Bombyx mori: one gene and its partners. The protein of the gene in region 1 binds, or shares a complex with, the protein of each later gene. Links are inferred from orthologs where the notes say so. Each region holds a gene or a part of one and is shown in the gene's direction. Other genes may lie near its edges.

Region 1 (7,967 bases):
AAACTTGAACAGTCTCCATTGGAGCTTCAGAAAGGGGAACCACTGTTGCATCTTTGTGTTCTCCTATTCCAGCTACTCCTTCAACAACTAAATTATCACTTGTCAATGTTCCAGTCTTATCGAAACAACATATTTCTACTTTACCAGCAAAGGGTATCCTAAATGGTTCTGTACAGAATACGGCCAATTTCGATAAAGACAACAATGACGTATTAACTGCTAGAGACAACTCTATGGGCAGTTCAGGCGGAACAACCGATGTCAATATTAAAGTACATTCCAAAAATAATTTGTATCTATTTCGCTCAGGATCTTCGCAACCCTTGACCCACACATAGGCCGCAGCAGCTACAGCAAATATAAGCAAAAACATTATGAATCCAAAAGTTTCAAGATTATTAGCTGTGACCCTTTTCACTCCAAACAAAATGGTTCTTAGCAGTTTACCCTGTGATGTGTTAAAACCATTACGTATAACATAACCAATGCAACCATTATCCGGGGCTTTAAGCCCTGAAGGTGAGCTTTTGGATGGTGAGGAATGTTGTACAATCTTAGTACCACCAAAAAGCATGTGAAGTTTACCATCACCCTCAGGTTCTAGATGTTGCTGGAGGTCCTTTTCATTTTCCAAAGCTTCTTTCATTTGTGGAACACTCTCACCAGTCAACATGGACTCATCTACAATACAGGACCCCCGTAAGAGTATTATGTCACAAGGGACCAGGTTTTCGTTGACGGATCTTGTGAGGGATACTATGTCACCCGGTAAAAGCTGATCGCTTGTTATTTGTCTCCACCTCCTGTTTCGATATACATTAATGTTGTAAGGCTTATTGCCCATCTTTCTGATCTCAGCCATATTTCTGAGCTGTTGCTGCACCAATGTACATTCAAACATAACCAACATCACTAGTGTGAATATTGAGTAATACCAATACTTATCCAAACACCACAGAGCTACACAAAATACTTGAAATACAAAAAATGGTGCTGTTGCTCTCTCTTTAAAAAGTTCCATAAATTCCGGAACAACCTGAAAATTTGTAGAGTGGTTTGTATGGTTCAAATATTTTTAAAATAACATTCTTAATTTAATTTTCATTTATATATGTTTATGATTTTACAAAGATTACTTACCATAACCATCTCATTTTTACCAAATTCTTTTTCTGCTAAATCAATAGCCTCATCATCAGAATATCCTTTGGATTCCATATATTCTTCATAAATTTTATTGATAGGAAATTCTATGGTGTGAAAATTCTTTTTATCCCAGTCATACACATATTTACTCTTTTGAAATATGAACCAAACATCTGGGTGTATACTGTCTTTTTTTGTTGACTGTAAATCAAATATATTTTAAAATAAACCTGAACTTAGTGAAAATCGACTCGAAGCCCTCATTCTCTTTTCTAAATTGTACCCTGTACTATCATTAACTTTGAATGTTATTTTTTTCCTACATAAGCTGATAGCCTTGGGAGGCTATTTCAGCAGAACCTTAACTAGTAGGTGAGCTCACGGGGCTCAAACCTGACGACGTTGCGTACACGAACCCTGGCAAGAGCCGTGCTTCGCAGAATCTACCGCCGGATCGGAAACGCGACCCACTGAGAAGATTCGGCGAAAAACTCAGTGGCCTGTGTCTGAGGGTTAAGTTACTCATCGAGCCCTTCGTTGCAAGTGACGGGTTCGACAAGAATTTGAATGTAAAACTTGAAACTTAAAACTTGAAAACCATGAACAAGCTGGAAAAATATTTGTGGCTATTTGTATTCATTCCACATTCAAAGACCTGAAAGTACAGAGATTTCTACCATGTAATGTGTCTGTTTTTGAAAGAGAAAACAAATACACTGCGATCCCTACCTAATGCCAAATACTTGCCAATACAAATGCCAAAAAAAACAACCAAATAGAATACATCTAAGACTATGGGATACGGTATGGCCATATTTACTAGCCACTATACCAATAACTTGGTACCTTCAATGTGATGCAGATGTAAATCATTTTATTCCAATACTGTGTGAACATCACAGTTGAAAAATTTTAATATGGTTTTTGTTAAAGTTCACAATATAAGTCTTACCTTCGTATGATGTAGTCGAACAAGCTCAGATGATCCATTGTTAGAAGTCGGTACAACCTTGACTACCTCAGCTTGTATTGGATCTTTAACCTGTCATCAACATCATATAGCAAATGTAAAGTCTCTAATTTCTTTTTAAAAACATTTTGCTGTCTAAGGACTTACCGCTGAACAAGAAAGGAAGCAGTTGATATGAACACTCCAGTAACAACACAAACATATGAGGATCTGGACTGTTGCTATCACAGCCACAGTCACGAATCCTGCCTCGAAATTATCTTCTATACCGTACACAACGATCCATGAATAAAAAACCAGAGGGTAAATAAATAGAAAAGGCAAAACCGTGCCTTGTAAAACAGTCGGAACAGGCTTGAAAAGCTGTGTATACTGAACTAAATCATCTAGTGACGACTGCATCTTTACCATCGATGTCGCTATGAAAAATTCTATTAATTGATACGGATTCTAACGCAGTTGCCAAATTTTAACTAAATGATACTATCACGCAGCATTGCTCCATTCAATTGATTGGTTTTAATTCAAAATAATGGTTTGATTTCGGAGTCTAGCCAACTTGACAGATTATTGACATGTTGTAAATTGCAAAAGTAGTGAGTGAAGTGCATAGAGAATGACCGAAGTGTAAAACCGGAAAGAGCAACAACATGTGCATTACCAGCAACGTCATTAGCCCACATCAGCCTCACTGTTTGAGTATACAAATCCAGATTTTTGTAATTTTCAGCATTCCATTTTAAGTGGAAATAAGATTTCCACAACTCGTGAGTGATTTGTTTTGATGAATAGTTTAAATTTTTTTAGCTATGATATTTTAGGATAAAACATTTTTTTAAACTATTATTTATTTTCTTTACTAAAATATAAAGCCATTTTCGTTACTATAAATTCGTTGAGCCGAATCTTTGTTATTATTCAACACGATATTTAAAAAATTTGGTAATTACTCTAGAAACTACGGTGGGCGTCAGACATTGATGAAAACAAATCTGGCAGTTTGTGGGACCCAGTCATAGAAATACTCTATAATAAATATAGTAGAAAATTAAAATCACGTGCGCATAGTCAGCGCAAATTATACGAACAGGATAATTTGTCTGCAGTATAATAATAAAATAATGATTTGATCCATCACACTATTCAACTTAACTAAAATATTACATTTAATTATGAAACTTTAGTTCGTTGAAAATTTTATAAAAAATTATTAATCCCATGAGTTTATTTCTTTATTTTACCTCACTCTGATTCAACCCTCGCATCAACATCACCCCGAAGTTCTATTTACCGGTTTCCAGTGTGGCCACTAAGTATAACAAAGAATAAATTGACATCAAGCGATTTATCTATTAAGTGCTGTAATGAAGCTATCACTATCTATACAAAACCGTTATTTTAACAAGAGCAATGTTATCAGAACTATCAATTTACCAGTAACGATAAACAAAATTTCAGGACTTTTCGTTTTAAAGTGTTCCCTCGCTAATAAGCTTCGTAACTTCGACTGAAACGCTGTAAACTTCTTTACTCGCCACGGGTTTCGTCCTAATTTAGAGCCTGAGGCATTAGCATTTTGAATTCCTCAGTCACTTGGTCTGACCAATGGCTTTTTAAAATTGTTACGAAATCATAAAAAACTTGTTTTCAATAATAGATCAGGTTTCGGATTAAGTATTTTAATACTTGTAAGAACATGGTTTTATGTTTATAGTTTCACAGAGGTTCGTATATACAGTATATAGCCTTCGAAGGCAATGAAAATTCTTGCTGTAATTTTATTTTAGTCTTAAATCCCATTTTATTTGTCGTTATTGTCATTGTGTGGTCATGAAAAAAGCAATTACCATTAGTCATATCGTTCTTTCATTATGGACAAAACTGCGAAAGCTGAAAATCAATCTGAGACAAACACAAGACAAAAATGGATTTAATCTTTATTCTAAGCTATTTTGGGCTACGATGCCTTTGTCTCTTTTGTGGACAAATCAACAATGATGTCTGTCACTGTTACTTGTCACTATTGTGATTTGTGTCTACAAAAACTCATAGACCTATATAGTAAAAACTGGCGCCAAAATTGTTCCAGTAGCAAGTGTAACAATAGTGCTAAACATTATTAATATGAACATTATTAATAACAAGAATTTATAACACAATAAAGGTTAAAAGTAATTATTAAATATATAAAAAAGTATGGATTTCAAAGTTAAAAGAAAATCTACCAAAACTCCAGCAACAGGTAATCAATTCGAACTCTATCCACATGACTTACAATTGTACAAAATTCCACCGGTTGAAAACATCACTTTACAAGAATTTGAAACATTAGCTCTGGAGCGTGTAAATTTGTTAAGAACGTTGTCTACAGCTACAACTCTTCGAGGGTTGCGTTTAAATTCAGAAGAATTTGTGGAATTCGTACTAAACGATTTACGAGCACAGGGTTTGAAATATTATGCTAAATTGTGTGAGAAATCGGGTTGTGGATCTACTAAAGCAGATTTTGAAGCCCGAAGAAAAGATCACATTGCTCATTTTATACTCCGACTTGCTTATTGTCGGACTGAAGAGTTGCGACGTTGGTTCATCGCAAGGGAATTGGAACTATTCAAAATGAGATTTGCTGTCATGAGAGGCGAAGCGGTAGAGGTATTCTTTAAACTAAACAATCTATGTTACACTACTATTTCTGAAGATGAAAAAAACGAAGTAATACAAAACTTAATAGAATCTACACCCTACTCTAAAATAGACAATATGAAATTCTATAAGGTTAAATTCTTTGAAGTTCTAGATTTGGTTAAAGCAAGAAAAGTATTTCTTAATGATGGATACGCTTATATACCTCACAGAGATTTCATATCAGTTCTTGCAGCACAGTATCGAACACATTTAAAACAAAATTTGGCCAAAGCTTGCCATCATCTGTGTGAAATTGAACAAGATGAACGACTTGTTTGTTTGTTAAAAGGCTTACATCAATCTTATTCAGGTAATGATTATTCTGAAACTAAAGCTGTGATACCCATAGAAAGCTTGGACTCTATTTCAACCAAGTCATTTCCTCTGTGTATGAGGCAACTTCATGAACAATTAAGAATTGCCCATCACTTAAAACATGGGGGCAGGTTACAGTATGGCTTGTTCTTAAAAGGTATTGGTGTGACACTGGAAGACTCTTTAAGGTTTTGGAGGGAAGAATTCATTAAGATTATGGATTTGGATAAATTTGAAAAGCAATATGCTTATAATGTTAGATACAATTATGGAAAAGAAGGAAGCAAAAGGAATTATTCACCATTCAGTTGTCTGAAGATTATAAATACCAATGTTGGTCCTGGAGATTGTCATGGATGTCCATTCAGACACTGTGATACTGGTGTTCTAAAGAATAAACTTATTGGCTATGGTTTTAGTCATCAAGGTAAATCAAAATGTTATAACTGTTTTATCAAAGCCACAACAACATTAACTTGTACACAGACTAATAGAATAACGTAATGTATTCATTTCTAAGTACTTAATGTTGTGTAATTATAGTGTGCTAAATAAAATTAATTACAACTCCATAAACTATTTTAAAAAATGTACTAAAGCTTAAAAGTTTAAAATAACTGATATTAGTTTATTATGTTCCCAAAAATATTGCCTTTAATTTACCAAGTTGCACTATTGATGAGGTGACACTTCAGTAGATATTGATTACTCCTTTAGTGAACTAATCAGTTGGTAGATTGTACATGCCAAAATATTAAAATAACCTAAGTGAAACCAAAATTTATAGACTGCCAAATGTTACTCAGTTACTAACACTCATTGGAGCCTCCTTTGCAAACAGCAATGTTAATACATATGGAGGCTTGCACTAGTTGTAAATTTCACTGAAAAAGGTAAATTTTCTTGATTTTCAGTTGTTTCTGATATAGTGGAGTTGAGCAAGAAAACACATTTCCAAATTGCCTGCAGTAAATATTTTGATGCCATCCACAATGCAGATGTTGGTTTAGGTATCAATCATCCTAATCAGTTCTTTGAGGAGAGTCAGAAAATATTGAAAGGAGAATTGAAAGTACAACCCAAGAAAGAAAATCTTGTGAAGAAAGATATTGTTGACAGCATAGATGCTATGGATTTTGATGAGCCACTGGAATGATCTAACACAACAGAAATAAAACTTATTTCATATTGCAATAGTTCATTTATTATTTTTGCTTAACATACATAGCTTTTTTAGTAACATGTCCACAGTACAGACCAAATATAAAAATTATGCCTACAATCGAAATACCTACAACTAAGAAATACTTTTTTGATGGTGATGATGATATGCTATGATAAACATCTCCCAGTGTTTCAAATTTCTGTAAATTAAAAAACAAATTAATTATGTAAACACAATTATAAAAAGCAAAGAATAATAAAAAAAAAAATTATTAAAGGATATTTGGTTATGACACTTAAAATCAAGCATAAAATTGGAATTTTGCTATTTCAGATACAAACTGATTTGATTTGATGAATCTTTACTTAATAATTAATTAAAACAAAACTTACAGCTGCTACAAATCTATACATTTCTAATCTACTTGTGAGTTCCTTTTCACATGCTGCCTCCAACTTCCGTGTTCCATCATTTGATATAATTTTTAAACATTTCAGACCTGCAAAAATTTTTTTATTATCTTTCGTAATTTGGCAGGCATATGTTTGAGCGGCGTAGTATGTGAGATGGAAGTTTCGACCAACAGTCCATCTTCATTGTTGCCAAAGCGGATTGCTATCGCAACATATTGTTGTTTCATGCATTGGTCTGTCAGGCCATTAGCTTGTCTATTCATCTACAGTTGACAATACTAAAATGAACAATAACAATTCATTACGTAGTCCTTTGTCCATAAAATTCACAATCTATGAATCATCAATTACATTGTGAAGCGTGATAAGGCAGACACGAAACTTTTTAAGAATCAAATTATGTATCTATTTTTTTTATTATAATACATAAATATCTTCACCATAAAGAAGTTATATATATAGTGTAGTAAAATTTTATTACAATACAAATTACATTCAGAAAAAGTAACGCCGAATCTTTTATTAACGAATGAATACGAAAGCCATTAGCAGATATAAAGTAATATATTCAATATGGGATAAAGTCGAGAGCTCGCCATATAGCGGGACATCCGGGTTCGATAATAGCAATGTCGATTCTCGGTGGTATTCCTATCGTTCGCAGTACGCTATTGTTGTGATATCGCCCGAAAAGATAATTTTGTCAAGATAATAATTTAGAATTAGAATACATATAAAAAATTGTTATAATGATTTAACAGATATACGTGGGTACAACACATTTTTTTTAAGTAAGCATACCAAAACCGCGTTGGAGGTTGAGTCGAGTCGAGTTAAGCTCGTGTGAACGACTAAAGATACGGGGGTTAAGCACGAAACTTCTACGTCCTGATTATATGGGACTTGCAAAATGATAGAGGCCACCCAATAAACGACTACTCTCGCCCGATCGGCCAATCTCCGTCCGAGACACAACCCAAGAGAGGTTTTACGAGGGTTTATCTCTCACAACTGCAAGGAGTTTACTTTTTTATTGCTTAGATGGGTGGACGAGCTCACGGCCCACCTGGTGTTCAGTGGTTACAGAAGCCCATAGACATATATAATGTAAATGCCGCCACACACCTTGAGATATGAGTTCTAAAGTCTCAGTACAGTTACAACCGCTGCCCCACCCACCCTTCAAACCGAAACTCATTACTGCTTCACGGCAGAAATAGGCAGGGTGGTGGTACCTAGAACTTTGAAGGTAATTAAAGAACCTTACTTTGAA
Region 2 (7,969 bases), on another chromosome or scaffold:
GTGAAGCACTACTTATATTTTTTATATTTTTTTATATTGCTTAGATGGGTGGACGAGCTCACAGCGCACCTGGTGTTAAGTGGTTACTGGAGCCCATGGACATCTACAACGTAAATGCGCCACCCACCTTGAGATATAAGTTCTAAGGTCTCACTATAGTTACAACGACTGCCCCACCTTTCAAACCGAAACGCATTACTGCTTCATGGCAGAAATAGGCAGGGCGGTGGTACCTACCCGTCCGGACTCCCAAGAGGTCCTACCACCAGTGATGACACGACTTCACTGGAATAATAGGCACGGCACACTTCACAGGTTTATGAGTGAAGGTGAAGCACTACTTATATGTACATACGTGCTCCTGTATCTTAAGCTCCTGGAACTTCTGGAACCTAGAACCCCTGGTCTGCAGATGTAGCTGTCCGGCGGTCTTGTTGAGGCGGCAGTCGTCGGCCGTGCAGGCGGGCGGCGGCGTGAACTGCAGCGCGCGCACCGGCTGGTACGTCTCGGCGCCGCACGCGCTGCACGAGTACGTCGCCACCACCAGCAGCGGCTTCACGTCCGTGCACCGAGTCACTATACCTGAACACAAACTTAAATTAACTAGTAATCCCGCAGTAGTCGAAATTCGACTATAATTAATTGAAATTATAAGTTTGAATATTATTATGGTTCTATTGTCAAAGACTATTATACTTCTATAATCACAGATTTCGCAAAGACTACACTATAGACAAATAATATTAAAGATAAACAATATTAATATTAGTGTGTGGGTGTCAGATACATGGTAGTATGTGTAATGTTTTTTTATTAATTTAATGTATTATAAATGCATAATTAAAAAAAAAAAGCATTGTGCACTCCTTCTCTATATTCTCTATAAGTGTGGGAAATTTCATACTCCTCCGTCGAAGCAATTTCCGTAAAAAGGGGTACAAAGTTTTTTCTTCAGGTATTAATATATAGATATTTAACAAATCTCTTATCTATTGAGACTTTATCGTAGGGTATATATGTATTTTATTGTTACATATTTTTGTCTGTTTATATATCTCTATATATTTCAATTCCTGCAGCATACAGTGCCTTTACCCCTGACTCTGCTGAAATCCAGAAACGGCAAAGAATGTTCATCATCATTATCAGTAAAACCCACACCGGTGTCTCTTCAAAAACTATACTTATTCAATTGTAATTATTGGTATTTGTTGTTAAGTTTGAATAACTCTTATTTTTATTTTTATTTTATAACATTTTGTAATCTTGTAACTGTATGTGTGTACTGTAACTGTTGTGTACTATGTAAGTGTTATCTTTTGGCACAGAATTTATCAATAAAAAAAAGAAGATCTCAAACACTATTATGTGAAGTGTAGGAGAGAACTATTTATAATTTTGCTTTTTTTGAAATTTTTATTAATCAATAAATAGATTAGGTGTAGCTTAATCTATAATCAAATAGAAATAAATCAGTACAATATCCTGAATTACACCCTAATGACAATTCCAATTAATTAATGTTACCTGTTCAATAGAAGATTAAGTTTGTAGTAGATCCCTAGAAACATGTGATGTGATTGCATGGTTAATGAAGCATCTCCTAGAGGTTGTTATTGGGTTGCAGTGATTAACTACATTAAGAAATCTATTTTTTAATTGAAATATAGATAAATATCTATATTCGTATATGCAACATGACTATACTATAATATGTACCTCGCACAGTAACTAGTTTCCCAATATGTTCAGCCTTAACTTCTCTGATAGGTACACTTTTCGATGTTGACAAGTCTTTGAAGTACACTTCACTAAAATAAAGAAATACTTATTTTACAAATTGTTATTTCATAATATGGCAATTTAATTTGACTTTAAATTAAAATCTATTCTTCTATTTAATATGAGTGAGTGGGATGACAAATCAAATTAGGTAAATAAAAGTTTTAAATGTATTTTTTATACAATCCAAACCTCAATCTAACTCATATAAAGGAATATAAAGGATCAATTCTTAAGAAAAAATCTCTCATAAGTTAGACAAACCTAAATGTATTACCAGTATACTTGTTTATTTACAGTTAAAAATTCTCAGAACTTAATATAAAAACAACTTACAATCTCCTGATGAGCTCTGGTGGGTATCTGTTCCTAGGATCCCTCATTTCTCCAGGAATCCTGTGGTTTCTGGCTTCCAACATAATTCTGTGCTCAATGTATACATCCAAGGAATCCTTTGCTACTACCTGATATTGTTATATAATTTGTTTTTTTAATTTTGAGTTATATTATACTGTGATATAACATTCAAACACTAATAGCTCAGGAAAGACTACAATAGCAGAACCGTTTTTTGTGTTGCAATGTCCAGTGGTTAGAATAATTAAGCATTAGCTTTAACGAAACAAACATTGCATGTGAAAACAATTTTATATAAAATTTTATTTGATAATTCATTTTATTTATATTTGTGTAACACAACTGTAATGTGCAACACACGTAATGAAAAATATTCTATTCATTTTATACAATGAATGAAATTATAAGGTCACATACATTATGTACATTTACGCAGCAATTTGCACATAAATGCTTTCTGTTATTGTTAGTATAATTGCTTTTTCCCATTTTTGCTACAATCTTTAAGCTTTGCATAATTATATCAATGCTTACCTCTTTGAATTTGTAATCAGGCAGCATTTCATAAACCACGTCTGACACCATATTAGTGTATCTTCTGGTATTTTGTTTGACTGCCTCAGTCAAATCTTCATTCATCTCATGTAAATCATCCAAGTCAACTTCAAATGCTATCTATAATAAAAAATTAGTTTTTGTTATTAACGTCTTCTTGCTTCCTGTGTGCCCTAAGCAGGCAGTCATGATGTGTATTGAGGTTTAGTTTAGTTTGATTTCAGTTACATAAAAATTTCGGTAATTTAAAGTATAATTCATACAACAAGCTATAATTTTTTTTAATCCTAACTTTCTGTTATCCTAATAACTGTATACACATAAATAAACTAATCTTCATTATCTGCTAATAATCATTATCTTGATCCTGCGATAGTTTACAATAAGATAACAATTATACCTTATAGTAAAACTGGAAAAATTGTCCCAGCAATAAAATAAGTGAAATTATATTATTATATCATTCAAAGAACTAGAAACTACAACTACCCTAACCTCAACATAGCATTGTATTTTTATTATTATTATGAACCGAACAATCTTACCTGTTCTCTGTGTGCAACTTTAGTAAGTTGTTCAGCATATTTAAAATACTTTTTTCCTTCATCATCAGTTTGACAAAAATCAACGAAAAAGTTCTTGAAAGATTCTGTAAAGGTTTATTGAAATTATTTAATCGTTCATAATTTTGGTAATATGCTCGATCTTCTTCAAGTACCTTTATCTGCAGTGTAATCACGCATTGCCATTATGTTAGAAATATGTTATTCGAATAATTGCTGTCTTCAAATACTAATCACAAATGTATCACCAGCACCGATCACAAGCATCACAACAAATGTTTTTTGACAGTTACAAATTGGCGCGAAATTTGTGAAACTAAGAAGATTTTTATTTCTAAATGGATAGGTAAAGGGAACAACTCGCATATTAAAAGTCTTCTAAAAAAGGGCAAAAACGAAATCTACGACATGCAAATTTCACACCATATACCTTATCCTTTAGTAGAACATGAAGACTTTAATTAATTAATTTAGAAAAGAGATTCGACTGTATAGTATGATATCCTCGCCCTTTCTGTTGCAAAACGGAATACAAATATCAAATGTCAATCACAGCTGAAGGCTTTCAAAGTGGATACGCGCCAAAATATCTAAAAAGAATTTAACCTAATCAAAATATTAGTGTTTCTTGTAAATGTAAATTGTTTTAAACTTATATATGTGTACAAAAGAAAAGCTATTAAAAGAGAATGGCCGATTCAATAGGTACTGCAATACTTAAGTCTGTATCTAGGATGCATTTAGTTTCGAAACTCCTTGAACATTTAACAAAATGTATTTACTGTTTGTAGCTGCTCAGCGTGCGAAGCGACAAAAAACAGACCGACACGGTCGATTCTCGGCGTTTGAGAAGCTAAAACAATTAAAAGGGAAAGGTGTAAAGCATAAGTACGATGTGGATGTGCTTGAGAATGTGTACGACACTGTTGACGAGAAAGAATACACAGAAAGAGTTCTACAGCGACAAGAAGACGATTGGATAGAAGATGGTAAATCCATATTACAAATCAGTACATAATTTTTAGTTTCAACTAATAATATTAACTAGACTTTTCAAAAAAGTTTCACATATAAATTTTCAAAATCCTTATTTATTAAATGTTTAAAGTGACTACAAACCGAATTGAAATTTTCAAGTGAGAAAACATCCATTCTGTAAATTAAATGTGCATTAGTGACACAGTAATGTTTGTTTTCAATACTGGCTATACTTAACGAGTGAAAAATATGTATTAGAAGATTCAACTAATGTAACAAACTTTTTAGATGGTACTGGCTATGTTGAAGATGGAAGGGAGATATTTGATGATGATGATGATGCTTATGAAGCAACAAATAGTAAAGATACAGGCAGAGGACAGAAAAGGAAGGCCAAAGTTGCAGCACAGTCCTCAGGAAAAGGGAATATACGAAACTTAATTGGTAACATGCCTAGTAAGAAAAAAGAGGTTTGTTATATTTCATTTATTTAATTTATATTTAAGAATGCAATCCATTGATATCTATGATTATAATGTTTTAGATAGGATATTTTAAGTACTAATTAGTTCTTATGTATCGGGGACATCCTTCTGATAATTTTAGGAAAAATATAAAAACTATAGTCTTCTATAGAGTTACAGACTATGACAAATATAATTATAGTCTAGATTCCAAGAGAAAAGTGCAAAAACTTAATAATTTTTTGCATAATATAGATCCAACCTTATATTTCTGAAATAAAGATTAATAAAAAAAAATATTTTTATAACCTGTAATCCTAGTAAAAACAGGGTTAATTTAATTTGGTACTTGAGCAACTTTGACTACTTCTCTAAACTAAATTCCCTGTTTAATTGCACATATTATCAAATAATTGGCAACTTGGTAATGTTTGAATCCTAACTTAATTTTTTATTAGTAATTTAATATGTTGTTTTTCTTTCTTTCAGGATGTAAAGATTTCAGAAGATAATATTTTATCTGATATTATATCTGATTTGGATGCTAACACTGCATCAAATGTAGTAAAATCTACACTGCCTATAACTAAAACTAACATTGTGGATACAAGTAAGAGAGATGCACAAAACTACTTCAAAAGTCTTTCTGCTAACGTCAAGAAACCTTCTGTACTAAAAACATTCAAGGAAGAAAAGGAGGCATGTATCATTTTTTCATTTGTATCGAGTTATTAACTGTTAGTCTAAGGGGCTATTCCAAATACTTGGAGAATTTGCCAACACTAGCCTTAGCGCGAGCAGTTCTTGGCAGAATTCACCACTAGATCAGAATCACGACCTATTGAGAAGATCTAGCAAGAAACTCAGCCAGCTGTGTCACTGGTTAATTCGGTTGTCGTTATCGACGAGTTCGACTAGGTCCGGTGCTTGAAGAGCAAAAAATGTCAAAGATATGTAAAAAGTATGTAATTAGCAGTGACCAGAATAAGAGAATTATCATATCCCGCCGCTTTGTCGAAATAGCGTTTTGACGATACCTAAATTAGTTACGTATTGGTTCTAAATTTAAGTCTTCTGTGCTTTTCCTGTAACCTGATTGGATAATTATTTATAAAAGTATAAATGTTGTAGTAGCTGATACTGAATAGTAATTTATTCATGTAACACAATTTGAAAAGTAAACTTCGCATTAAAAGGTCGTCGAAAATATATAACGAAATGTATTTATGCAGAATGTACCCATTGAAAATCGTTCTCTCTACACAAAACAGATGTTACATTACTAAAATAATTTGCAACAGCAAGCTAAAACTTGTTATTATTTCAGACTGAAAGTATTGAGCCAGACACATCTGCAGTACAGTGTGAAAAAAATATGGTAAATATGGTAAAGTTAAATATTTTTTAATTGTATTTTAAATATCCTTGATATTATTGATGATGACAGATTACCTACCTAATGATTAGTGGTTTCTGCCCCTTGTAGACATCAGCAATACCAGAGCTACACATAGCCAATCTCCTGTGGACACTTTTCGAACCTTGTTTAAAATAGAACATCATAGCAATCCGGTTAGCATGGAGGGTGAGAGAGAGCCAGATGATATCCAGTGCTATAGAAGAAACAACTCCTTAGTAATTCCATAAAACCTTCGATAATAACATGGAGACAACAATCATTCTATTAACTCTATTCTATAATTTATTACATGTAAAGTTTGTTTTTGTTTAAATAAAGTGTAACAGCCACAGCCTACAAATATTAACAAATATATTATTTTAACCTCACAGATAAATCATGTGGTAAATGAACCTGCAAATAAGAAAATCAAGAAACCAGAATGGAACATTGAAAAAGAAATCAAGCAAGAACTTAATGAAACGCTTACTCCTAATATAGAAGAATTTGAAACACAAGATATTGACTTTGACGATGACTTCAGCAATGATGCAAAAACGTCCCAAGTGAAAAACGAGCCTGTCAGCACCGGAACTATCACCGAAAATCCTACAACAGACATCACTGATGAATTTTTCAATGACGAATTTGAAATATTCCCTTTACCAAAGAAAGAAACTACGAAAGAACTGAAACCATTGACTAGTACATGGCCAGAACAAGGAGGTGACAACCAAACTGTGTCTTCAGTTCAAAGTGATGGTCAATTACCACTGCAAACCAATGAAACAGGGGAGAAAGTGCTTAGATTTTACTGGCTTGATGCATGGGAAGATCGGTTTGTAAAACCAGGCGTTATATACCTATTTGGAAAAGTTTATGTTGACCCATCAAAAAAGAAGGCTGGATGTGTATCATGCTGCCTTGTTGTGAAGAATGTTAATAGGCAGATATTCCTGTTGCCAAGAGAATATGTAAGTTTTTTATTGCTATAAATATGTGTGACTCGTAGTGCTTCCCACTTTGCAATATGAGATTGATATCTCAATTAATTTAAATTACTGCCTTACCCTTCACACTAGAATGCAAAACTGCTTCACGGTAGAGACAGACTGTAATGTCTACACTAACAGGCTTACAATTTAAACCAAGATGGCCCTTTGTCATAGAAGGGTAGCTCACATAGTAAAAAACCTCTAATTTTTAACATGCTAACTGTTGCTGAATACTGTAATTTAAGTACGAAATTTCATGTCTCCCGCATAAAATAATACAACATTTACCACATAGTGTACTATCGAATTTACTGGTAAATGTTTTCTGTTTGTTATGTATACTGAAATCATAAGTTATATGCATTTATGCAATGCGATGTGGCAGTTTGGTTGTGTCCTCCACCGAGGGTAGCTCTCATCAGTAGTATATTCATTTTGTAAATAAATAAGTTTATAAAATGTTTAAAAAAATTACAGTAAATAAAATCCAATAAATTATTTACAAGAAAATTTAGTATATCATCCATTCTCTCAGGCTAAATTCTATAGATGTATATGTATTTATTTTTTACTGAGACTATGTTATGTTGAACGCAATTTCCTTTTAGTCAGGTAAAGAAATTATCACTACTATAAAAAATATAATATGCAAATTCACATTACTTTTCAGAAACTTGACCCAATAACCCTTGAGCCAACAGAACAAGAGGTGACGATGATGGATATGTATGAAGAGTTCAATAGTTCTGTGGCAAGTGAACTCAGTCTCCAAGAATTTAAATCACGAAAGGTCACCAAGAACTACTGTTTCAATTTGCCAGATATACCAGCTCAATCTGATTATTTAGAAGTTAGATACTCGGTAAGTTTTGTCTT
Region 3 (7,950 bases), on another chromosome or scaffold:
CATTTTTCATAAAATTAAGAATAAAAATTAAAATAAGACATGACTTAAAGGGCTTAGTTACCAGGTCATAAAATCCCTAAAAAAAAGAAACTAAAATTAAAAAAGAATTTACTCAATTTACAATACAAAAGTTCCTTTAGCCCCTTTTTTCTTTCCGTGTGTGTTTTCATTTGTAAAGACAGATTATATTACCTACGAAGCGTTATTATTATAAATAAATATGCAATGAGTAATAAACCTTAATTAAAAATATCTGGACCCCTCAAGAATGGCCGACGACATCATATTTGAATTATTACATTCTGAAATTATAAATTATTCTATTGAAAAATTCAAGAATAACGATAATGGCGAAAAGGTTTGTTTAATCAATATGTATGTAATGTTAAATACTAAATAATCGTTTGAGATTAGGCAATATTATTACAATAAATACATTTTAATACATCGATTTCAGGAAACTGATTTGTCTGTTGTCGAATACATCGGGTTTGCGGCAGGCTATAAAATCATGGAAAGATTAACGAGGGAATGGCCGCGTTTTAAAGATGAATTAGATACTATGAAATTCATATGTACAGATTTTTGGACTTGTATTTACAAAAAACAGATAGATAATCTTCGTACAAACCACCAAGGAGTTTATGTACTTCAAGATAATGCATTCCGTTTTCTAACAAATTTTTCTAATGGTCATCAGTACCTGGAATATGCTCCTAGAGTGAGTAAAAACTATTATTTCTTATATTTCTTTTCATTGACCTTTGGAATTAATAAAATTTACTATCAAAGTATTGTTTCTAAATCAGTGTTTTTACCATTTCAGTATGTTGCTTACACTTGTGGGCTCATTCGAGGTGGATTGGCTAATCTCTGTATTAACAGTATTGTCACAGCAGAAGTTCAGTCTATGCCTTCATGTAAATTTCATATACACGTTCAAAGAACATAATACAAATCTAGATTTGCTTTGTTTACATTGTTTTAATATGTTATAACATGTTATGTTATTGTTTAATGTATTATTTTTTTTTAAATAAAGGAGTAATAATATATTGCATATTCTATTATTTATTATGAACATTTGGGGTCCTGGACATGTCAAGGTCACTAGTGCCATGAGTGTATTAAGCACTTTATTGTTCACTTTGGTTATAAGCCTTAAACAGGATTGTAATAACTATTGTAACTATTAAAAGTATTCTGAAGTTGTCATGGCCTAAAAGATAAGTCGACTCGTGCATTTGTATTGAGTGATGCACTGGAATTCAAATCCTGCATGCCGGTACCAATTTTTCAAATTTTCAAAAGATGTTCACAATTGACTTTCATAGTGAAGGAATAACATTATGTATTAATTAAAATCAGTGTGGGGCAGCTGTTTGTAACTACTGAGACCTTAGAAATCATATCTCAAGGTGGATGGCGGCTTTTACCTTGAGCCTATGGGCTCTGATAACCACTTAAGGTCAGCCGGGCCGTGAGCTTGTCTACCCATCTAAGCAATAAAAAAAAAGTAATTGCTTAATATAAGGACTATTGGATCTCAAAAAACAAGCATAATAAATATCAATAGATTCTTAGATACTTTATAAATCTTGATATCTCAGTTGTAAACCACACAAATTAAATAATTACTAGATAAATAACTAAAGCACCATCAGTTTGATGTATAATTTCTTACCAATTAATTGTGAAAACAATTGTGTAAAATACAAGATGTTCTCACCTTAACCGTACATAATTAAAGGTAAAAAACAAAAGGGTTTTCACTGAGCACTTATTCAGCAATATTAGTGGTTAACAAAGGAAGCGGGACACTACACTTCTCCAAATATAGATGGCTCAGCCTGCTCTACTGTTATTAATGAATATTTTCAATCGGAATGGGAATCCCTGAAAACGTTTTACAAATTTGAAAAACTTTTTCTCCATAAGTCAAGGTTTACCTCTTTACGTAAGTGGGACACGGCCATCGCAATCTCACCTGTGAGTCATATAGCTATGCTTAGACCATGGGTATCTACCTGAGCTTACACCTGCCTTTACGGTTCACACAGCTGATAACTCTTCAAACATTTGGAAGATTTCAGTTTCGATCAGAAGGTCACCAGGCGATCTGAGCGTGTTGATACATGTGGCGCACTACCAGGACTAGCGGGTCTCCCGGGAGTACATAAGAGCGATCGCAAATCTGCGGCACCCCTTGGATGGCCTGACGGACTCGCGTAGTGAGATGGCCGACGTTTCAGAGCTGTCGATTCGCCTCGAAGGTTCCATCAATCGGGTGTTCGTGGGGTGAACTGAGCCTATTTGCAGTGTTGACTGTAGTCTAACTGCCTTACCCCACCCGGGTTCTGACCTCAGGGGGGTGAACTAACACTTTGGCGAAAGTGCAGGGGAGTCGTTTAGTGGGTAAATACCATCCTTGGGCCCTCGGTCTAATCTGTGAACCGTCGAAGCCCACATAGCGTGCCCCCTAGACGCCGGGAACTCATACGAGGTTCGGCCATCAGCCAAAAAAAAAGCGCTACTGATCTCCAGGGTTTGACTGTTTTTCGTTTTGACTTACCAGTTTTTTACACAGTCCATTCGTATTTACAGTCATTAAGGTGTGCGTACTTAAATAAGTGAAGAAACCCCATTACTACCGTGGGACCTGGAAAAACCGGCATAAATATGAGTATAAAATAAACAAACAACCCCCGTGGTCACTACGGTGCCAAAGAACCGAGAATCGCGGTTTTCGAGGCGACAATGGTTTTTAATTTTTATTGCTTAGACGAATGACCGAGCTCACGGCCGACTTGGTGTTAAACGGTCACCAGAGTCTCTAGACATCAACAACGTAAATGACGCCTACATCGAGTTGTGGTTTTCAAGTCGGTTCTACTACCTATATTATTGTGCACTATAGTACAATGACTGCCCTTGAAGTCGCTTGCTGCTGCATTGCTGCTTGTGAAGCAGCAGTAGATTGGTGGGGTATAGCAAAATCTTGGTCATGGATTGTGTGAGGAACTAATGGACACGGGAGGGTATCGGTCTTTCCTGCGAACGATGGGCTGTATTGGTCTCTGCGTAAACTCACCACACTTTATAGACACACAAATACGTCTGCCCCGTAAGTTCCAGAAACCACTGAGACACGTCACAAGCATTAAAAAAGGAGACCAGAAAGGGGCAGAAATTCGGCGACCCGATAGTGGAAAATGGACGTTTGATGGCAAACATAATCAGGAGGGTGGGCGCCAGCCATTCGTTTCAAGTCCTACTATCTACTGAATTTTTAACCCGATTTTACACTACGCAAGCTTCAATGATTAATGGCAGGATATTGGATGGAGCTGAAGTGTCGGGAAGTGCGAAATGGGAAGCGAGAAGAACCCTTGAGGCATGAAATCGCATCGAATGTACTTTAGAATGGTTGGAGCTCTTCGTTGACGGTTACCCCTGCACTATCATCACCATTAACTCTGGCGTTCCAGCATGTTATATGCCCTATTGATGGCTTGTATTAATAAACAGGTAAAATCAGAAGGGATTGGCAATGTATCGGTCATCCATATTTCTCGGAACCTAATTCAGGCGAAATAATCAACAAGTGAGTGAAGAACATAGCTCTTTGAAGCGGGTCTTCAACTGGGGTAAATTGAATTTAATTCGGTTTATGGAAGAGTTTCTTTCTAGTAAAAAACAAATAATATCCTAAAGTAGGTACTGTTAAATTTAAAACAAATGAACATTGTTTCTTGCTTTTTGATTTTGTTAAGTTAGTTGTTTATTAAACCATTATAAACAAAAACGTAAAAGAAATCTTTGCGACGCAGCACAAAGTCACTGATTCGTAAATTAAAAATTTACTTTACAATGACAAGACAAGTTACGACTGATTTGACTGTTCTATGGCAGGTTTTAAAAATTTTCGTTTCTGGCAACCTCTTTTTTGACGCAAACTTTCGGATCGGCGTTGGCGCTCTTTTGCTTCCTTTTCTTTCATTTGCTCTTTCAATTACAGAAAATGGCCTCCGAAGAGTTGGTGACTGAGCAATTTAAATTTTTTGGCATAAACGTTGAACAAGATGTTTTATTAAAATGTAAGTAAGCTTGTTTAACGGTTAGAAACGGTTTGTCTTTTCTGTTACCTGTGCTCGATAAGTTCTATCAATGGTGATTGTAATTAAACATTGACAAATAACATGTTCAAGGTTGTTTCACGAACCATTTTTCCAAAGGTGTAAATTTATGTGAAGAGAACAATATTGATGCTGAAACTTTTATCGAACAATGGATGGCATTCAGTTTGAATTATGTAAACGGTGCTTCACCAAACTTGGAAAACTTAGATTTATTCGTAAGAAAGGAATTTTCCAAGCGCCGAACTAACGCGTCCGCTAAAGAAACCACACGACCAGCTGCCGGTAAAAGTCTTACCGTTTATGGAGCAAAAGCCACTTCGCCGTATCCTTTGACACAAAGTACGTTGAAATTTGCAGTATATTAGAAAATAACTTTATGAAATGTGCTTCTTATATTCATTATGTTTCTTAAAACACTATTGTGTTAGTAGCGTTATTTCAAAAATTTTGTGCAATCATTTCCTATACTGATATAGTCCAGACAGTGAAGTACTGTCAAGTTATGTTGCCGTAACGCCCAAGGTATGTAACTGGATTTTAATAAACTTCGTGTTAGTTTTGAGTTAACGTTTCAAGGTTATGTACGTAGTTTTTTTGTTTCTAAATCTCTAAGCGATGAATCTTAATTCTCAGTTAGTACCTTAATACTGAATTTTGTGTATGTGTTAATAAATCTTTCAGTTGATGAAGAGTATTTGAAGAAAAACGGATCTTTCTCCATTTGTAGTTAATGGGTATAGGTCTAGTATCACCGGGCTGATTCTGTGACTAGATCTACACTCATTGAGTGCTTATGGATTCATCTTCAGAGCATCTGACTTGTATCAATATTTTAAACATACATTTCATAATCTACCCTACAAATTAAATATAAATGCATTTTGAAATCATTATTGCAAACAAAGCATCAAGAAAGGAAGTGGATAAATAACAACTAATTAAAATGGAATGTGCGTATTAAAAATCAACCAGTGACTTGATGATATTTGTGGGCGAGTTTGCTTCTGGTTCATGTTTTATATTGATCATGACTAGATCCATACTCGTCTGCAGCCATCAACTCATTCTTCTTATGAGTAAGTTTTATAGTCTATTTGTATCACAGACATTTAACATAAAATATTGTTATTGTAAAATTGGAAATACATCACACAGAAGCATTAAAATAATACTAAACTAAGTTAAAAAAATGACTTGCATGTTAATAGTATATTCTGGTAACCATCAAACAGTCCAGCTATAAGTAATGCTGAATGTTTGAATCTAACTACTGTAAAACGATGAGTATCTCACAAATGTGAAAATTTGTACTGCAACCAGTCCGGTACAAATATTGTTTATCTTGTTTATAATTTTTTGTAAGTCTTAGTTGCCACAAATATATATCTAATTTTTTATTAATATTAACGGTGAATGTTTAATCTAACAATTGATTTCTTATAAAGGTTATGTTTGAGTTCAGTTTTAAAATTAAAGACAATAACAGTGAAAGAGTCTGCTAATTATGTACCAATTGAGACTACACGGCTGTGGTTATATGCTCTTGGTATGCAGTTGCTTGAGAGTACCTACACTTTTTTTCTGCTTTTGAGGTAGCTGTGCATATATTCCACCTGATGTTGAGTGTTCATTGTTGCCCAAATATTAGAAAAGTATGGGAAAGTATGGTCTTGGGACTTTTCAAAACATGTTTAATACAAAACTATGTCGCTAGCGCTCATAGAATGCCAAGGAGGGGTACTCACTATAGAGCCAGATTTTAAGTGTCAATAATGATCACTGGAATCGCATTAGGGAGGAATGGAGTGGTTCTAAGTAGGTACATGACCAAACCGTTCCGACGGCGGGTGGTACAGTTAGGGAACGTACCCATACTACGTGACCTATTTTTTTTGTTTTTTCGACCTCCCTCCCCACGGTGATCACTCGTAGTATATGCCAAGACCCCCCCCCTCTCCCCCTTTAGTTTTCACGTAGTAATTCATTATGATTTTTAATCATTACATAGGCAAAAATTGAAAAAATAAAAATTGGTTCATACTCGTCTTTATTGCACAAGACTGCATGCACATTTAAATTACTAGTGAATTATGTAGTGTGAGTTTACAAAGCGCTAAGCACTGTGCGCTATATTCAAATATAGGTCGAAAAAATACGAGATTTCTCTCACTAAAATCGACTACGTGACAAAAACCTGAGCCACCCCCCCGCTCCTGTGACTGACCGTAGTATTTTAAAGACTCCGCTCCCCGCCCTAAACGGGACACGTACTATGGGTACGTTCCCTTACTAAGGAGATGACAGAGCCATCTCAGAATATTCCTTAGACCACTCCACATGGTTCATACGCTACAAATACCGAAAGAATCAAAGTAAAATCATAGATGCAGGGGCTACAAAAGAACTGAGATAGAGCAAACGATCAAAACTGTTCTTTTCTGTATTGGGTTAAACGAAAAAAGTGGATACTTAAGAACCTCGGCACAGATATAGGAGCAAACTAATCCGCGGGGCCTCTATGCTTTTACAAAAAGAAGTATTAGCCCGAGCTTGAACTATCGTTTCTCTCTGTTAAAGACTACCAACATTTTAGAAGCCATCTTAGCTTAACTTTCCAAACTACTAATACTGTACGTCATTCGAAACAAGTATCCCGAGAATTCCAGTACGGTCATAAGGTTAAATAAAATAATAAATGAACAATTCAGCATATATCGCAATCATCTGGCCCAAATGAGAATCAAAGATTGAAATTCATAATTCTCTACGTTTAAATATATACATATTTTATGTATATGGGGAACCGCTAATAACACTGCAATCTGCTTGGGCGGCGATATCGTCGGCAAAAATAAGTGTTTTGGCCACCACGGTCGGTGACCCATTCGAAGAACCAGCCTGTGTCGCTGGTGATCCACGATACCCCGCTGTACCAGAGTCAGCCTGCTAGTTGTGAAGGTGGATCACAACGAACCGGGCGCTCTTTAAGTTAACTTTATGCTGTGCGCTAAAGTCCATAGTGCGTGGCCTTGAACTCCAGTTGCACCGAACCGGATAGTCGAGGGATCCTGGCTCCTACAGGACGCCCCAGGCGTAACTCCTACTGGATTGGTGCAGTGAAAGTAGAGTGCTATCTCGAACGAGTGTACACTTCCAGTTGCGAAATGTTGGTGGACTTCACAGAAGTCGAACCTCGCGTTCCAAGAACAAGACTCCTACCAATAATTTTAAACACTGGTCGTCAACGACAAATCCGGTCCTATTTGAGCGAGGCCACTACTCCCCTGAACCACCCTCCACTAATCCCCCCCCTTGATTGATATTTATTAAAATAGTGTAGGAAAACTATGTACATACGAGTACTTGCATAATTTTTTCCTTAACTTCATTATTTGCGTTAAAAAAAATTTTTGAAATAATGAAAACCTCAGGCAAAAATATCGTAATACATATATCACAACTCTGTTGTTTTGAAATTAATTTAATGTGCAAATCCTTAAACTTAAATATTCACAGAGAGTCAAAATCGAAAAAGACGCGACGACAAATCCGAATAACATAGTTCCTGCAACTTATTCACCGACCGTGTAAGTTAACGAAGTTAAAATTCCGTGGCGCCATGTGAATATTGAAACAAAGTAAATACTTAACCGAATATTCCAGCGGTTCAGCGAAGTACGCGTCGAGAACAAACGCAGGCACGGTGGTCCATTCTTATGGAGATGAGAAATTACTACAAGAATTAGGTAAAGCGAACAGCTCGAATGATGTGCTCAGTTTGAAAATCACGCAAGTGCCTAATGACGATGAC
Region 4 (7,981 bases), on another chromosome or scaffold:
GAATAAAAGACCTAAACTTTTGTATAAAATAAACTTAGAACAAACAAAAGGAATCCGTCCGACGTAGAACACGTCAAAGAAAAAACAAAATTGTTATTTTTATTTAATTCCGATTATTTTCATATTTATCTACCTTTTAAATCTTCTCTGGACTTCCACAAATAATTCAAGACCAAAATTAGCCAAATCAGTCAAGCCGTTCTCGTGTTTTAGCAAGACTAACAAACAGCAAGTCATTGTTATATATATAGATAAATAGATTGCCAAAAAATATTGTTGGACATTGAGCAATAGTGAAAACCAAACAACATGACAATATTATAAAACTGATATATTTACTATTCTTGGTTCTGTTCCATATAAAGTTTCATAAACATGCTGTAAAAATCCTATCGTAGATATTATTAATAAGGCCAGTAAAGTGATAATTACGCAGCACATGTAAAAAATCCAAAAGAACAAAACACCTGCAATAAACATGAACATCAATTTTAATACGTTTGGAACCTCTGGGTTTGCGGAGGGACTTCGGTTCCCTCTGTATTTTGTACCGTATGTTCCATGGGGAGTGCTCTGAGGAATTGTTCGAGATGATACCGGCATCTCGTTTTTACCATCGCACCGCCCGCCACCGGAGTAGAGTTCATCCATACTACCTGGAGCCACTGCGGTCATCCACAGTGCGTTTCCAGAGGTCTTTTTTGCCACGTACCCTCCGGCTATGGAATGAGCTCCCCTCCACGGTGTTTCCCGAGCGCTATGACATGTCCTTTTTCAAACGAGGCTTGTGGAGAGTATTAAGCGGTAGGCAGTGGCTTGGCTCTGTCCCTGGCATTGCTGAAGTCCATGGGCGACGGCAACCACTCACCATCAGGTGGGCGGCATGCTCGTCTGCCTACAAGGGCAATAAAAAATAATAATAATAATAGTACTAGTACTTCGTAATTTATAGAAAAAGTTGTGAAGTTAATTTGCATAATGATTAGATTTTGTTCCTTAAATGAAGCCAGTATCCAATCGTCGTTGTGAACTTCTTGTAAAAATGACGGAAGAATGAAGCTTTATAAGCGTAGGCAGTAGAAAATTGTTCTTAGAATCTCTAAAGATGTGTTCCTGTTTTTACACAATATAATGATTCTGCTAGAGTAGAAACCAAAAAAAAGTATTTTAATAATTTTTCCTATGATTGTTTCCTACTTTGAGAATTGCTTGGAGGAAAGGAAGATTCTTAGGAGGAAATAGAATCCGAGAAGAATTCCTACTAGCAACGCGAAAGTCCACAAAGTTTGATTAGCTGTTGAAATTATTTATGCAGCCGCCAATGATATTTTATATGTAAAAAGAAAGAAAGTAAATATTGTATAAAAGATCATTGACAGCCGCTATTAACGAGACTCTCAAATATATTAAGTGTATAATCTATGAACGAGACAGTACAATGGTGTCATCCTTTTACTTTATTTCAATGCAATTAATATCTCAATGACATGAATCTTACTCGTGTCTTGATTAAAAAATATAACGTTCTACAATAAATGGTTCTAATTTTTTTCTTGAAATTTGACTCTACAATCCTATACCAGACAATACGTCATCCAGTTCTCAAATACAACATACTGTTCACAAAAATACCGACTCGAACCGGATATTGTACCCCGTTAATAAGCCGCTGAATATTTTTCAGGTTACAAACGTCCACTGCTGGACATAGGCCTTCCCAAACCTCGCCACAACGACCAGTTTTGTGCTACCTACATCCAGTGGATTCCAGCGAATCTCAAAGTTGTCAGTCCACCTTGTTTCCCCTCATTCCTGATATAATGTTGTCGGAAAACTCCGAGCATCACCATCGCCACTGCTCTTTGGGTGACATTGAGCTTTCTGATAATGTCCATTGAGAGCGATTACGACATAATGCAATATGTCACACACCGGTCAATGACTTTCGTCTTGAGACAATGTGTGATATTTATGATGTGGCTATCTTTCTAAGGCAGGCTATAGAGTTTTCTAAATAGTATTACAGCCTTGTCTGAAATTTTAATATTTTTTTTTTTAATTCTTTAATATTCAGTATCTAATATTAGTAGTATAGTAACTTACCTTCTAAAAATACAATTACTAGAAATATAGTTGAGGTCATCAAAATAACAGTTACAGAAAAAAACGTAGATATAAGCAGTAAATTTAATAACCAGGCTGCTATTAAAGTCATTGCCAATGGCTTTCTTAGCAACGATTCGATCAATACCTTTGATGCATTAAGAAATTTTTCCGAAGTCTTGCAATACGAATTGTGCAGTGAACCTGAAAATATAGACGAATAATTATTTTCGTAAATTAAAGTAAATACTGTTGGTGGTTTAAACCACAAACACATGTGAAAAGTATTTTAAAAGATCCATTACTTATTAAATTAGGGTTTACGGTTATTTTTTAATGTTCCTACTTACGAAATGACATTTTTACTACTATTAAAAAAGCGGTGTCTTTATTAATTTCCATATTGTTTTAGTAGTCAGAATTTCAGCAGTTTTGACATCAATAACTAAATCAAGATTCAATTCACACACAAAGCTGAATAAAATTTAGGGTAGGTAGTTGAAAAATGTTTACGGGTAGGTTAAAAAATTTTTTTTACATTTGAGTCGACTATTATCAAAGGCGGCAATCTGACTTTTGGACAATGATTGGTAAATCAGAAAAACGAATTATTGACTTTGTATTCCATTGGCAGTCACAAAACTCTTCGGAACGACATCTTAGATAAATAACAGGTTAACTATTAACCTTTATTTAATGCAGGTTTTGAACCGTATTCTTTGAAAGAGACGATTATATTCAAATAAATCTGTATTGACATATCAATAAAAATTTTTTGTCCAAATGTACAGATTGCCGCCTTTGTTAATAGACGACTCATTTAATCGATTCTACAAATTTTCGGTCTCGGATTCCTAATTAGTTTTTATTAAAGGATTTAATGACTTGGTAACTAAGACTTTTAAGTCATGTCTTATTTTAATTTATATTCTTATGTTTATGAAAAATGATATTAAGGAGTGAAATGAAATGAAGATGATTAATTTGAGACATTAATCAACTGGGATGAAATTAAATGAAATGAGATGAGATGGTATGGAATGAAATATAATCTCAGTAAAATGACTGAGATTATAGATAGAGAGATATCATCTCATCTCATTTCATTTAATTTCATCCCAGTTGATTAATGTCTCAAATTAATCATCTTCATTTCATTTCATTTCACTCCATATTGGTTATCATTTTTCATAAAAATAAGAATATAAATTAAAATAAGACATGACTTAAAGGTATTAGTTATCAGGTCATGAAATCCCTAAAAAAAATGTCATTATAGGAGTTGTTGTTTTGGTAAAAATGGTAAGTTCAAATTCAAACTGATCTAAATAAAAAACTAAACTTCTGATTAATATCAATTTAATTGTACAGATTGGCGAACACAATGAAAACATTCTATCTGATATGCTACCCACTTACTATGCCAGGCAATTTCCGCAAAATATATTCTGTAGATGGCTAGCATGCGGTAGTTCGCCTCAACCGCTCTGTAACAGAGAATTATCATTTACTTTAGCTGACGATGTCTACCTCCGTTATTTGTCGATTTCGCATCAAAAGGATTTACAAACCCTTCTTCAAAAGAAATGTCCACACAAATTGGATGTTGGAGCAGTTTACAACACAAAGTATGTTTTATGTCTAAAAGTTTGTATGAAGTTAAAATATCATGCTTGAATATTTAATAAAGTAAATTTCATTTATTAGCATTTAAAAAGCAATATTACACTCTTTTATTGTCACTTGGTATTCTTCCGTTATTTAAGGCCTTCTGTAGGAAGACATGACGCTGTAGTGATATCGCGAGAACTAGTATTCGATATAGATTTAACAGACTATGATGAAATAAGAACATGTTGTCAAGAAGCTAGAGTGTGTGAAAAATGCTGGAAATTTATGGTTATTGCATGTGAAATCATTGATAAAGCTTTAAAAGGTAAATACATGATTTACTTTACTGAGCTACAGACCATTAAAGATTCTTCTATATTTCTATATTTATTTACCACACCACACTCATTAAAATGTAACCTATCTCATGCATACTTGGGGTGGCGAAAAAAAACTACAAAACCATATGTCCAGCAGAGGATGTTTGTGGGCCAATAGAAAAAAAAAAGAAAACCAAAACATATTTACACTGTAGTAGTTAGTTACTTATATATTTCCACTAGTGAATGGATTTTGACTTCAATTATCCACATCTATAGTATTATTTTCATGATACAAGTGATTCATGATTCTTATAATTGACAAAATGATTGATTGAATTCAAATTCACATCCTTGACTTACTAATTTCAGATGACTTCGGGTTCCAAAGCATCCTGTGGGTATTTTCAGGTCGGCGTGGTATTCACTGTTGGGTATCAGATTATGAAGCCAGAACTCTCGATAGTCCAGGTCGAGGAGCTATTGCCGATTACCTTTGTTTAATCGTAGGTGGTGAAAACCAAAGTAAAAAAGTGCATCTTGGCAATGAAAACTTACATTCCAGTATAAGGTTATATCATTTTTTTTTAATTTGATATTCTTACATGAGATTTACATAAATATTTTTTGAAAATGATAGATGATCATAATTTTGTTGATAATAATTTTGTTAATTACTTCTCGCAAAATTAAAAATTACTTTTATGAGTCGATCTACCCATCCAAAGAAGATTAATAAGAAAATACTATTATTTTCTTTCATAAGCTGCTGGAGCACATTACCAGAGTTTTGACCAGTAAAAATCATTACTAAGGCTAAGGGAAAAGTGATTATGATGTAACACTGTATTATTATTGGTTACATGTGAAAATAATTTACATTGGTCATGCTAATCAGAATTTAGAATGCTTAGAATGTTACCTTGATATAATGTCACATATCAAGATCAGGACTAGATTTGACACAAAGTCCCTTTTATATACATACCTTTATATACTTTACAAGTGTATACAGTAAGACATCACCCCCAAACTTATAATTTTAATACCGCTGTCCTTATCATTTTCACTAATAAACTTTTACACTTTATAATTTTATACTACACATAACTTATATAACACTCCCTTGAGGAAGTTACGCATTCCCTTGTATATTTACACGTTTCATGTTCGATCTGATATTCATTTTCGTAAGGAGAATGAGTTAGGCATTAAGTTTACTAATATATAAAATACATGAAGTGTAAGTAATAAATAAATTAAAAATAGTATATTTAAATACTTGTTCCAGGCGTGCCTTAAATATAATAGACAAATACTTTGAACAATTATTACAAGATCAGGAATTTTTAGCAACAGATAAGCTAAACTCATTTTTGAAGTTGATACCAGATGATGCGTTAAAATCACAGGTTGAAACAACTTTGAAAAAAATGCAGGAACCATCATTGAATAAGTGGAACACTTTTATAAATATTTATGAAAATTATTGCAGAGAGGTAAAAAAATAATAAAATTTTGACATAAAGAAAAATTTGGTACTTCATTAAAAATTAGAAATTCATTGAAAAGTCGTTGGCATTTGTTTTTTAAACTGCTTAAATTTTTTTCCAAGGATACAGTTCAAGATTAACCTACATATTAGAAGTTGTGTCCTAAAAAATATGCATATATATGTATGACTCTATTTTGTCATGTTTTTCAATTTGTAGAATGGAAATGTTATACGAAAAATAAAATATCTTATAGAAGAAATAAAAATTCAATATTGCTACCCCAGATTAGATGTTAATGTGACAAAAGGTTTCAATCACTTGCTCAAGTCTCCATTCAGTATACATCCGAAAACTGGAAAAGTGTCTGTTGTTTTCAAGTCAGCAAATGCAAAGAATTTGAAGATCGATGAAATACCAACAATATACAGTTTATTAGATGATAGTGTCGCCGAAAATAACCAACATGAAACTAATATGAAAGCGGCTGTTAAAATTTTCCAAGAACTTGTATTCGCTTTGGAGAAAACTGAAGCTATGAGAAAACGCAGTGATGCCAGTAAGACTATTTTAGTTTTTGTTATCTTGTTTATGTCTACTACTACTACTGAGCTGGCGCTATCACCACTGGCGCTGTCACACCAGCGGTACTTGGGCCTCCCTACGGGGCGGCGTCCCTCCGGTACACCCGTTTCACAGCCCGATCCTGCTCCATACGTACTACATGTCCGAACCATCCGAGCCTCCGTGCCTTCATCTCCCCCAGAATATTTCGCTCACCAAAAAGCCTCTCCACATCCTTATTTTTCCGGACGTGCCAAGAACCGTCTTCTTTCCGAACTGGTCCTAGTATTTTTCTCAATACCTTTCGCTCAATACCTTTGTTTCGGAGCGAAAGGTTGTTAATGTCTAAACTGAAATAATAACCAGAGTAAATGTTAAATGTGTTTAAATGGAACTTGTCTAAAGAACTCTTTATAATTATTATTTTTGTTGCAGATACATCATTGGATTTTTAAATCAATGAACATGTGATTCTCAAATAAAGTTTAATAATGAAAATATGTAATTGGTTGGCTGATGTTTTTTTTCTGTATGTAAGGGTGAACGATCTTACGGTCTACTTGCTGTTAAATGGTAAATGTAGGTTGCATAATGGCCTTCCCTTAATCCAAACAGAAGCATAAGTATGCAGAAATGAGTTGGGCTTTTTACATCTTATTGACTTATTTGAAGGTACTCACAGTCTACCTGATCGTAAGGTAAATTTCATTGCTTATGGTAATAGTTAATGCACAGGAGCAATGTGACTGTTTCTTATCACGTTTCAAACCTTTAGCATGCCTATACATGGCGCATAAGTGGAGAATAAAGTCTTTGTAGGCATCCCCTACTGTTTTTCGTTACAAAGGGGAATTCAATTATGGATTCCTGGTTGATGGGGAATCAGACCGGGTTAAGTCGGACTCCGGTGCCTTCGAAGGACTGCGTCTTAAGAAAGGAGCATTAGACAGCGTGAACCGTACAACTGCCCCAATAGAATGGCTACCGATTAAACCCTAATGAAAACTCACTCGACGCCAGAAACAGAACTCTGGCAAGGTAAGGGGAGATTCCACTGTCAACACTGGCGTACCACTGCCTGCAAAAACGCCGCGAGGATCAAACACTGAACTTCGACCACTATACGAAAGGGTGAGCACAGGTTATACATTGCATATGCGACTCTGAAGTTTGCCAGTATACCCAGCCCACTGAGTTTCTCGCCGGATCTTCTCAGTGGGTCGCGTTTCCGATCCAGTGGTAGATTCTGCGAAGCACGGCTTTTGCTAGGGTTCGTGTTAGCAACGTCGTCAGGTTTGAGCCCCGTGAGCTCACCTAGCCACGGTTACGCTGGAATAGCCGCTCCAGGCTACCAGGTTAGGTAGGAAAAAAAAAAGCGAGTATACCATGGTTTTCCTTTCGTCCGGACCAGAGATAGAACCGGTAGAGTTTATTTTATCTCAATGAGAATGTTTCAGTGGACATTCAAATTGAAATATATATTTACTACTTTCATACATTTCATATTTATGATAGGTTTTCCTTTTAAAAAGTTACAGATTAATTTAGGTTTTGGATAGCTAAAACTTATATTTGACGAGTATAGTCATCCACAACTGGATGAAGTACAATAAAACAAAGTTCTCAGCGCTGAGAGTGTACCATACGCACCATCTCGAATACGATACATCCCATTCGCTTAAAGTTCACGCGACTAATTGTGTGATACGAAAACAGTAAAACAAAATGATAACTAAAACCTAAAATATGTCGCTGGGACATCTGTGGGCTGAAAGAGAGACAAGAGATAACTAGTAGTTCAGAATTACCTACATAATCGTTGCTCAAACACTTGTAGTGATATTATGTACTTTAAACAAATCTACTTGAAAGTAAGTACGTACGTAGATA

Evidence for each region.
Region 2: DNA primase large subunit (region 1) and DNA polymerase alpha catalytic subunit share a complex: the UniProt entries of both Drosophila melanogaster proteins name them as parts of the alpha DNA polymerase complex. The link is inferred for Bombyx mori from reciprocal best matches to the Drosophila melanogaster genes Prim2 and PolA1.
Region 3: DNA primase large subunit (region 1) and DNA polymerase alpha subunit B share a complex: the UniProt entries of both Drosophila melanogaster proteins name them as parts of the alpha DNA polymerase complex. The link is inferred for Bombyx mori from reciprocal best matches to the Drosophila melanogaster genes Prim2 and PolA2.
Region 4: DNA primase large subunit (region 1) and DNA primase small subunit share a complex: the UniProt entries of both Drosophila melanogaster proteins name them as parts of the alpha DNA polymerase complex. The link is inferred for Bombyx mori from reciprocal best matches to the Drosophila melanogaster genes Prim2 and Prim1.

Annotation. Positions count from the first base shown.
Region 1 is NC_085110.1:5,391,726-5,399,692, reverse strand, and holds DNA primase large subunit, read left to right. Parts: upstream 1-3,784; 5' UTR 3,785-4,312; coding exon 4,313-5,543; intron 5,544-6,030; coding exon 6,031-6,272; 3' UTR 6,273-6,310; downstream 6,311-7,967. Other genes in the region: endoplasmic reticulum transmembrane helix translocase, read right to left, coding at 1-1,036, 1,141-1,347, 2,099-2,188, 2,264-2,527; Golgi apparatus protein 1, read right to left, coding at 6,322-6,480, 6,674-6,780. UniProt on the Drosophila melanogaster protein: Regulatory subunit of the DNA primase complex and component of the DNA polymerase alpha complex (also known as the alpha DNA polymerase-primase complex) which play an essential role in the initiation of DNA synthesis.
Region 2 is NC_085121.1:13,174,509-13,182,477, forward strand, and holds the start of DNA polymerase alpha catalytic subunit, read left to right. Parts: upstream 1-3,768; 5' UTR 3,769-3,946; coding exon 3,947-3,962; intron 3,963-4,048; coding exon 4,049-4,246; intron 4,247-4,523; coding exon 4,524-4,705; intron 4,706-5,188; coding exon 5,189-5,398; intron 5,399-6,026; coding exon 6,027-6,086; intron 6,087-6,490; coding exon 6,491-7,072; intron 7,073-7,763; coding exon 7,764-7,955; intron 7,956-7,969. UniProt on the Drosophila melanogaster protein: Catalytic subunit of the DNA polymerase alpha complex (also known as the alpha DNA polymerase-primase complex) which plays an essential role in the initiation of DNA synthesis.
Region 3 is NC_085131.1:8,409,375-8,417,324, reverse strand, and holds the start of DNA polymerase alpha subunit B, read left to right. Parts: upstream 1-3,943; 5' UTR 3,944-4,021; coding exon 4,022-4,097; intron 4,098-4,208; coding exon 4,209-4,461; intron 4,462-4,615; coding exon 4,616-4,661; intron 4,662-4,859; exon of another isoform or gene 4,860-4,936; intron 4,937-5,119; exon of another isoform or gene 5,120-5,199; intron 5,200-7,655; coding exon 7,656-7,726; intron 7,727-7,802; coding exon 7,803-7,950. Other genes in the region: trafficking protein particle complex 6b, read left to right, coding at 269-358, 458-721, 827-952. UniProt on the Drosophila melanogaster protein: Accessory subunit of the DNA polymerase alpha complex (also known as the alpha DNA polymerase-primase complex) which plays an essential role in the initiation of DNA synthesis.
Region 4 is NC_085116.1:10,061,842-10,069,822, forward strand, and holds DNA primase small subunit, read left to right. Parts: upstream 1-3,248; 5' UTR 3,249-3,402; coding exon 3,403-3,405; intron 3,406-3,473; exon of another isoform or gene 3,474-3,474; coding exon 3,475-3,731; intron 3,732-3,869; coding exon 3,870-4,039; intron 4,040-4,406; coding exon 4,407-4,605; intron 4,606-5,325; coding exon 5,326-5,533; intron 5,534-5,746; coding exon 5,747-6,433; 3' UTR 6,434-6,526; coding exon of another isoform or gene 6,527-6,546; 3' UTR 6,547-6,596; downstream 6,597-7,981. Other genes in the region: uncharacterized protein LOC101739672, read right to left, coding at 319-467, 2,104-2,307, 2,454-2,505. UniProt on the Drosophila melanogaster protein: Catalytic subunit of the DNA primase complex and component of the DNA polymerase alpha complex (also known as the alpha DNA polymerase-primase complex) which play an essential role in the initiation of DNA synthesis.